2 linked regions of the Schizosaccharomyces pombe genome follow. The gene in region 2 interacts genetically with the main gene of each other region. Each region holds a gene or a part of one and is shown on either strand. Other genes may lie near its edges.

What was found. A genetic interaction does not mean that the proteins touch.
Region 1: of pim1 (region 2) and rna1, extra expression of one is lethal in a mutant of the other (dosage lethality), as found in Schizosaccharomyces pombe (one study listed by BioGRID).

Annotation. Positions count from the first base shown.
Region 1 is NC_003424.3:5,029,789-5,033,761, reverse strand, and holds rna1 (RanGAP Rna1), read right to left. Parts: upstream 1,992-3,973; 5' UTR 1,979-1,991; coding exon 818-1,978; 3' UTR 501-817; downstream 1-500. Other genes in the region: RNA polymerase I upstream activation factor complex subunit Rrn10, read right to left, coding at 1-106, 159-284; alpha-1,2-galactosyltransferase Gmh3, read left to right, coding at 3,764-3,973.
Region 2 is NC_003423.3:2,488,476-2,492,917, forward strand, and holds pim1 (RCC1 family Ran GEF), read right to left. Parts: upstream 2,561-4,442; 5' UTR 2,496-2,560; exon of another isoform or gene 2,366-2,495; 5' UTR 2,354-2,365; coding exon 1,748-2,353; exon of another isoform or gene 1,573-1,747; coding exon 559-1,572; 3' UTR 544-558; downstream 1-543. Other genes in the region: SPOM_SPBC557.02C (uncharacterized protein), read right to left, coding at 1-461; Ark1/Prk1 family protein kinase Ppk29, read left to right, coding at 3,573-3,672, 3,745-3,878, 3,918-4,442.

The DNA.
Region 1 (3,973 bases), on a different chromosome or scaffold from region 2:
AATATCCCAACCCCAATAAAGCACTTTCATCCAAACACTCGAATGACTTTTTCCCTGTCGCAAGCATGTATTCTGTTGCAAAATCCTGGATGCTATGAACTAAATCCTAAACATAAAAAGATTAGTTAAACAAGTATTGGCAGAAGCTGTGAACTTACAGGATCCGGCAGTTCATGTGGAATTGGAACAGAAAAATCCTGTACTAAATCACGAGCTCTGTAAGACAATTCACCATCAGCATTCACCAAATTATACAAAGTTGGCCGAGTTGGTGGATTTGACATTAATAGATGGCGTTGGACGTAGAGTATGTACTATGCTAGGTGAAGCTTCTAATTCGTCCTTGCAGTAGTACAATCATATTTGGAAACACCAAGCTCAAGTAATGGAATCCCCACATTCTTAAAAGTTAACTGCGACTTACAGAAAATTTATCTCGAGGTTTACAGACATACTGAAAAAATAGTTCAGGCTTTACGACATAACAACAAAACAACTTTACACAGATACAATCCAAACCATATTATATTGACCCAATACTTAATTAAAGTGGGTTATTAATAAAACGTAAAGAACCTTTTCGCCATTTTTGAAAGGGGAATTTTTTTTCTGTCATATACAGATTTAATCTAATACTATTTATCGGTCCTGCCGCGTAAAAAGACAGAATGTTGATAAAAATGCAGAAGGAAATCGAATGGTCGATATAGACCATCCGTTGACCACAATCGTTCATTACCGCCTAGCATGAACAATAGAAATATGTTAAAAAATTTCGGAAACAGCGGAGCAGGGTTCGAGAGGGAAAGTAGTTGCTCTAAATATGAGCTTTTGATAGCTCATCAGCAAGTTCTTTGTCTTCTTTTTCTTCTTCAGAAGTCTCCGGCTCAGGGCTTTGAGACTCAGCTTCTTCTTCTTCATCCTCCTCCTCCTCGTCGGTAAGTTCCTCCATATCATCAAGCTCATCTAGTTCACCACGACCACGGGTGCTAAAGACTTCACGTATTTCATCAACAACATCGTCTTCTTCCGAAAATCTGTTTCCATTTAATTCAAGGAATAAAAGATCCGGCATTTTCTCATCAATCACAGTTTTTAGGGTCCGGACAGCATCCAGCTCTATCTCGTTATACTGTAAGCGTAACGTTTGAAGCCCAATATTTTCTAATTTAGAAAAAGCATCTACAACTGCGGCAGCACCGCGAGCAGATAAGAGACAATCGTTGAGGCCTAGTTCTCGAAGGTTGGGCCAGCTTTTCAACGCGATAGCGAGAGCGCTAGAGCCCAAGTGCGTAAATGTGTTATCTTGAAGATCGAGTACCTTTAGCTCTTGGCAATATGCTAATCCTTCAAGCAATAAGTGTTCAATACCTTCGGGACGGATACCATTTTGCACCATTTTCACTGTATGTAGCAAACGGTGGCTCTGGAAAGTTTTAGCCCATTCTTTCATACTCCCATTTTCTAAACGATTTCTTCCACAAATAATGGAACGCAAGGGAGGTGCATTTTTAGCTTTCTTGTTGACCGCCAGCTCTTGCAAGGCACGAGCAATTTTTGCGCCAGCTTGAGGACCGAGTCCATTATTGTGTAGGTAAAGATGCTCCAAAGGTGTGTGTTTTGAAAGAAAGTCAATCAAGGGCTCCTGTGCAGTAGGGCCAAAGGCATTATCGCTCAATCTTACAGTATGTAGTTTTGGGCACTTGAGTAAAGCTTGTAGCAACAGACGTAAAGCCTCAGGAATTTCATCTTTGACACGTCCAGTAAAGATATCACTAAACTCTGCAATTTCTAAATCTTTTTTTGAGGCAATATTCTCTGACAACCATCTAGCAGCTTCGGTTCCAATTGTGTTACCAGACAATACAATTTCCTTTACAGAATCATCTTCTAACAGAACAGCAAATACAGACTTCTCGTCTTCAGTTGTAATTGCATCTAATTTCAAAGACTTCCCTTCTATTGAAAAACGCGACATGGAGTTGGTTGTTGAAAGAAAAAATATAGCAGGTATGGTGGTGAGGAAAGATTGTGTGAACTAGCTGTGTATGTTAAATTTGATCGAGGATAGATGCTTCAGTCACTTGAATTCATGGCTTTTAAAAAAGAAACTAAAATAATATTCAAAGTAGAAGAAGAACGAAATTTATCCTCTTTTGACGGATACCCCCTTTACTCAACCTGTTTTTATTTACAAACTCAAATGCGATCTCTCGCTAATGAGTTTAATTTTAAGACGATTCTATGCTATTAGAAGTCATTTAAATTATTAGATCAGATTAGCGCAAACCGAAAGATACTCAATGTCGGAGTGGTGCATTAGTGCTCGGATACGTTCCTGAAAGACATGTATAAAACTTTTGTAAATAGGATGATTGAGCTTTTTTGACATTTATCTATCATTCATTTTTGAAAAAATAGCTGTGACAATCCTGTTGCATATAGTTTGTTTTTTTGACTAAGTATAGAGGATCTTATGAAGAACCTTTTTGAGTGACCTTAGTCCTGAATTCTTAGCTTAAGTTTGCTTTAACTTAATTGCATTTCTAGCAATTAACATTGCTAGATTTTTGCCTCATCGCTAGTCCATTTATAAGAATACGAAGTTGAACGAAGGAATATTGACCAAAAGAGCTTGGTGACTTCCAAAAAATGAAGAATCAAAAAGATCTGAAATGAGTATCCCTATCTTTCAGCTTTCCGCTTGTTTCGTGATCATTTCAGTTACTCACACATATACATTTATGAGTTGACCCAAAAAGAAAATCGGAAAGCGGGAGTTTAACAGATATATGAAAAATCAAGATAATAACAACAATTGATATTTTTAGTTTAACATTTCTTATTCATTACTGTGAAAATCCACGAGTCTGCACTCTAGACACATAGAATACTCTTTAAACAGCTTTCACATTATCAGGAAAGCTATTCCATTGATACTGTATTCTTTTCAGTAAATTAATTCTCATTTCATAGTTGTAACCATTCTCGAATTGGACTTCAGTCCGCATTCCAGTACTTGATCTGCTTTACCTGTTTCAACAATTTGAATCGTTTGATTATTTTCCCATTCAATCATGACATTGATTTAGACGTATTGCTGAATTAAGCCATTCCTGTTATTTGTCCCAACGTATAAAACTGGTTAAAATGTTTAAGTACTGTGAATCATGTCATTAAAAGTTTGGAAACGTGATTTTAAAGGAACAACTCATTATTTTGAACATAAATCATTACCATACAGATTTTTCTTCTTTTTCTTCTTTTATTATAAATAGGATACGATAAGTAGAGGAAACCGTAAATTTATGATGATTGACTCCATGATGCGGTAATTTCAATCCTTCCACTACACACTGCCTTTAATTCCAGGTCCATCTGGTTAATCATTTTTTAAAGAATCTAATTCATTCATATTTTTTTATTATAATTTACATTATATTTTCAATTTCTTTTTACTGTTTTCTCTCGTTTCTTGAGTCAACGGGCGAAGATTCGTGTTTCAAACGTAGTATTCTTTGGAATATCACAAATCTCATTTTAATTTTTAAAACGGCTTTCTAATTTTCTACCGAGAAAGAGTAGAAAGTTTCCCATTTCATTCATAATTTCTGATCCATTCTTGGTATCTTATTGTTTTGCTTTTATCCAATCTCAGTTTATATTTGTGAAACTTGAAAAAGAGTTTCTCTTGTCTCTAAAAGACTAAATTTTATTTTTTATTTTTTTATTAATTTGCATTTAACATCTGCTAATCTTTAAAATGGCAGTCCTACAGTGGAAGTTATCTCGTGTTATATTCGTGTTGTTAATCATTGGGATTAGCTCTTTTCTCATTTACTTCCAATTTGGAAACTCTTTTTCTGCTTCACCTGCTTTAGAACGTTTACAAGATGTATTTTCCAAACCAAGTGTACAAGAATACGACTACTTAGTACCTCTGGATGAAGATATGCAAGGCCTTAGCACGACG
Region 2 (4,442 bases):
ACTTGTTCATCAAATTCTTGTAAAGCCCTATTGTCATCTAAAGTTTGAGCGGAATCATTGTTGGTCTGGTCATTAAGACAATTGGACGGTTGTTTCAATTTAGGGTCGGAGGAAAGCGGTTTCAGTATTTCTTGAAGCTTAGTTTTCGACTCAAAATGTTGAACTAGCCGCTGCCGTTCCAGAGACCAGTTGCGCTCTTGACGTTCCTGCATAGCCTTCATCTTTCTTAATTTTTGTAACTTTTCGGGATGGCGGGAATTTAGGGCAAAGATGTACCTCAAGGCAGCGGGATAGGTTTTAATTTTTTCTGCGTCCTCTATAGAATTGTTCAACTCAAAATCAGAGGGTTTCCGAGCCTTCGATAGAGGGATGGATGATTTGTCTACATTTTCAAGCTGATTACTCGTTACGTTGGAGGAGCTTTGAAGCTCTTGAAGCAAATCTGCGATTTTTTTATCCATTTGGAAAACTCATGAATTTTGTATGCATCAAACACATTGATATTCAAAATAATTTATCTAGCCCAAAAATAGTTAAAAGAAATTGAGAAATTAAGTACTAAGCAGTGGTGGAGCTGGGTTCGAGAACAGAATCCTTAGATTCAGATGTAGCGGTAGATGGTTCGCCGTTAGAGGTGACATCGGGCTTTGCATCAGTAACGGGAGAGTCATCCGTTTTGGAAGTTTCTTCGGTTTTTAATTTTTTTTCATTTTCGGGTTCGCTTTTTATGCCATTTGCAACTGGCTCTTCGGAAGCGTTGGGAATACCAGCAATGATGGAAAATTGACCACCTGCACCCGCTACACGGATCGCCACTTCCTTGATTGCCTTGGAACGAACTAATGTAGGAACAGCTACATCTTCATCATTATCACCTTGACCAACCTCGTAGTTTTCAGCAGATCCCCATGAATAAACCTTACCATCTGAGGTAACAGCCAAGTTGTGATGGGTACCACACACGACCTGTATAACATTAGTAAGTCCTGGGATTATAGTAGGGGTTGACAAGTAGTAATTGTTTCCCTTTTCATCTTTAACTACTGTTTCTGGAAGTGCATTATCCGGAATTCCTAATTGATGACGATCATCTCGACCCCAGGCTAACACTCTCCCATCTTCAAGTAAGGCTAGGGTATGATGTTCACCACCTGTAATAGACTTAACATTATATCCTTCTAAAGCATCAACGAGTGTAGGCTTTGTAATAACGGCGCCTTCTTCTTCATCTTCTACCTCTATTCCACATTGTCTGGTTATATTTAAGCCCCAAGCATAAACGCGTCCTTTGTTGTCAATCGCAAAAGAATGATACGATCCTGCTCCAACTGAAATAATATTTTTTAAAGCTAACGGTTGAGGAGTCAAGCCTTGAAGTCGACGACGTTCTAACATACGTCTACCCAGTTGAAACTGTTGACCATTACCCCATGTATATACTTTTCCTGTGGTAGTCAAGGCAATAATATGGTCCGTCCCTGTAGCTAATTGACAAATTTCGGGAAGTCGCATCTGCGTCGGTTCAGCTGTACGTTTTTGAGAATCGCTATACCCTAATACACCATCGGAACACTAGTATGTTAGCAAACGAAAAATGATAAATTTATAAAGCCATTTGTTCCAAAAGGGCGAAGGGAAATGATACAATGAGTCAATAGACTATAAACAACACTGCAACGATAACAGCACCTGAATTTGGAATCAAAGATCAAATGATAATTTTTCACGGCCAAAACAAATTACTTACACGGAAAGTACCCCAAGTAAAGCAGCAGCCATTGTCCGTTATTGCTGCAGTGAGATTGTCGCTACATATAACTTTTGTAACGCGTAGATGAGATAAAGCACCTTCGACCTTAGAAGGAGTTCCCTCTAGTAAATCATTGTCAACTTTGTCTCCATTCTCATCCTTTTGATCCTTAGTAAGACGACCAAGGGCATAGTCATCATTAACTCCCCAGGTGTATACGCGACCGTCATGAGAAAGGGCTGCAGAATGCATGCCGCCAACAGCCAAATCGACTACTCCTACTTTATCTGTAGATAAAATAGGATTCAAACGAGGACGATAAACGACATCCATTTCTTCTTCGCCCATACCTAGCTCGTTCATGGAACCGCTTCCAAAGACGTAAACGTTCAATCGTTCCGTAGGTAGTTCAGGTATCTTATTAATTCGCTTTGCGCTTCCTGGGACACGAACGGGTTTGGGTAGAGAGCTGACCTTTGCACGTTTAACCGGCTTTTTGCCATTTTTCATCACATCTGATTCATCTAATTCTCTTTTTTCAACCCCATTTTTTGAGACCTCCTCTCTTTTAGTTGAGCTTCTAGTACTTCTATTAGAAGTCATTATGAGTTTTAGCTGGAAGGGTTAGCTTTGCTACTAACAATCGATTTGTAATTTAAAAAAGAACAAGATGTCATCGCGTATTCCATGCAACCATCACCAGACGCAAATCCAAGAATTACATTTACTTTTTGGTACCACTTACTATAGCTTGGGTTTAAAATATTACAAAAGACAAAAAACAACGATTTATGTCGTTTTTGTTTTCGCAGAGACGTTGTTTTCAAAACTCGAACAAGTCGTTCTGTATACGGATTCTCACTATTCAGTATACTGCGAATCGTTGTTATGTGCAGCTTGTAATTAAGCATTCGTTAATTACAACATAAGCTTCGTTTAGCAAAATAAGTTATTGACTTCAGTAAAAGTTCCCAGCTTGTATTTGTTCAAATGTGTGTAAGGTGAGCTACGAATTTTTATGAAATCCTTTCTTTTTTTTTAACTTCATTTGATTTATATAAATTCGTTTAATCACGTCGAATGTTGAAAATTTGAGACCTCTTCTTATCTGAGAAAGCGGTTTCATGTATAGCTAAACAAAGATCAAATTTAAAAAAAAAGCTCATTAGTCATAAGAAGTTACAGTAAGACTCGGAGTGTCCATCGTTCAGCAAGATCGTATGCGAGAATACGAACTCAAGCAACGCGATTTTAATCTCTTCATAAATTATTTTTATGAGGACCATATACTTTTTTCCCTCATGATTTAATATTTAGTTACAATGAACATAGTCGTTAGCAGTTTCTGTTTTCTTTATTCTTTTCTGGATTTATATGTCTGTGAATTTGCCATGTCATAAATTTGGGTAACGATGTTACTCAACTTGATTCTACAAGTTTGCCTGTGAACTTGAGTATACTGTAAAATTAATTTCTCTTCTTAATCAGCTCAAATTATTAAAAGTTGTAGTTGAAATTTTCAAAATACGGCAAGTTGTCTTGTGGGGGGCGGTTTTATCTATCGGTAATGGCTCAAAGGTTAACCCTATAGAAGGGACTTGTGGTGTTTGGTGACTGGCTCAGTACCTTGCCAACAGCAGAATTGGCATCCCTTGCTCATCTTGATCAAAACTGTGTAAATACAGCCTTTTCAAAGAGTAAGTTATTATAATAAATTTACAACTAACGTAGATAGGGCTTCGGATGCTGTCCCATTGAATTGCGAGAGTGTAAACAATAACCTCGCGACTTCAGCCAGTATTGAACAAAAAACCTCTCTAGGATGTCTGTTGCATCCTTTCTCACGGGCGAAAAGCTTCTAGCAGGATCCAAGTTTGTAATTGGAAAATACAATGTTACTATCGAAAAGTACATAGCCGAAGGTATAATTTTTGGGTTGGATGGATCGAGGAGTATTACAATGAAAGATTTATTTTACTAACATTTTTCATTAGGCGGCTTTTCTCATGTATATCTTGTTCAAACAAATTCCAAAACTGATGGATCACCGATAACTGCTGTTTTGAAACGCATGTATTCTCCAGACGAGAATGCCCTGCGTTTCGTGAAAACTGAAATCGAAACGATGGTATGTTAACGTTATTGATTTTTTTGTCTAACTTATTAGGAACTACTCAAATCCAATCCCCACGTGGTTTCGTATATCGACTCCTGCATATTTCCTCTCGAGAAAGCGGGTGTCAACACTGGATTTGAAATCCTGCTTTTGATGGAATACTGCGCTGGGGGTGGATTGATAGATTTTATGAATCAAAGGTTACAAACTCGGTTGTCAGAGCATGAAGTCTTAAAAATTATTTCAGATATTGTACAGGGTGTTGCTTCCTTACACTATCTGAGACCTCCTCTCATTCATCGCGATCTGAAAGTAGAAAATGTTTTGCTAAGCTTTAATACTTTTAAATTGTGCGATTTTGGAAGTGTGACTGAGCCAATGCATGCTGCTGAAAACTCTAGCGAAATTCAAGCATTAGAAAAAAGTATCAACACATTTACTACCTACCAATATCGTGCCCCTGAGATGATTAATTTGTATTCAGGCTTAGGAATTGATGAGAAAAGTGACATGTGGGCTTTAGGAGTCTTGTTATACAAACTCTGTTACTATACAACTCCTTTTGAAACACAAGGT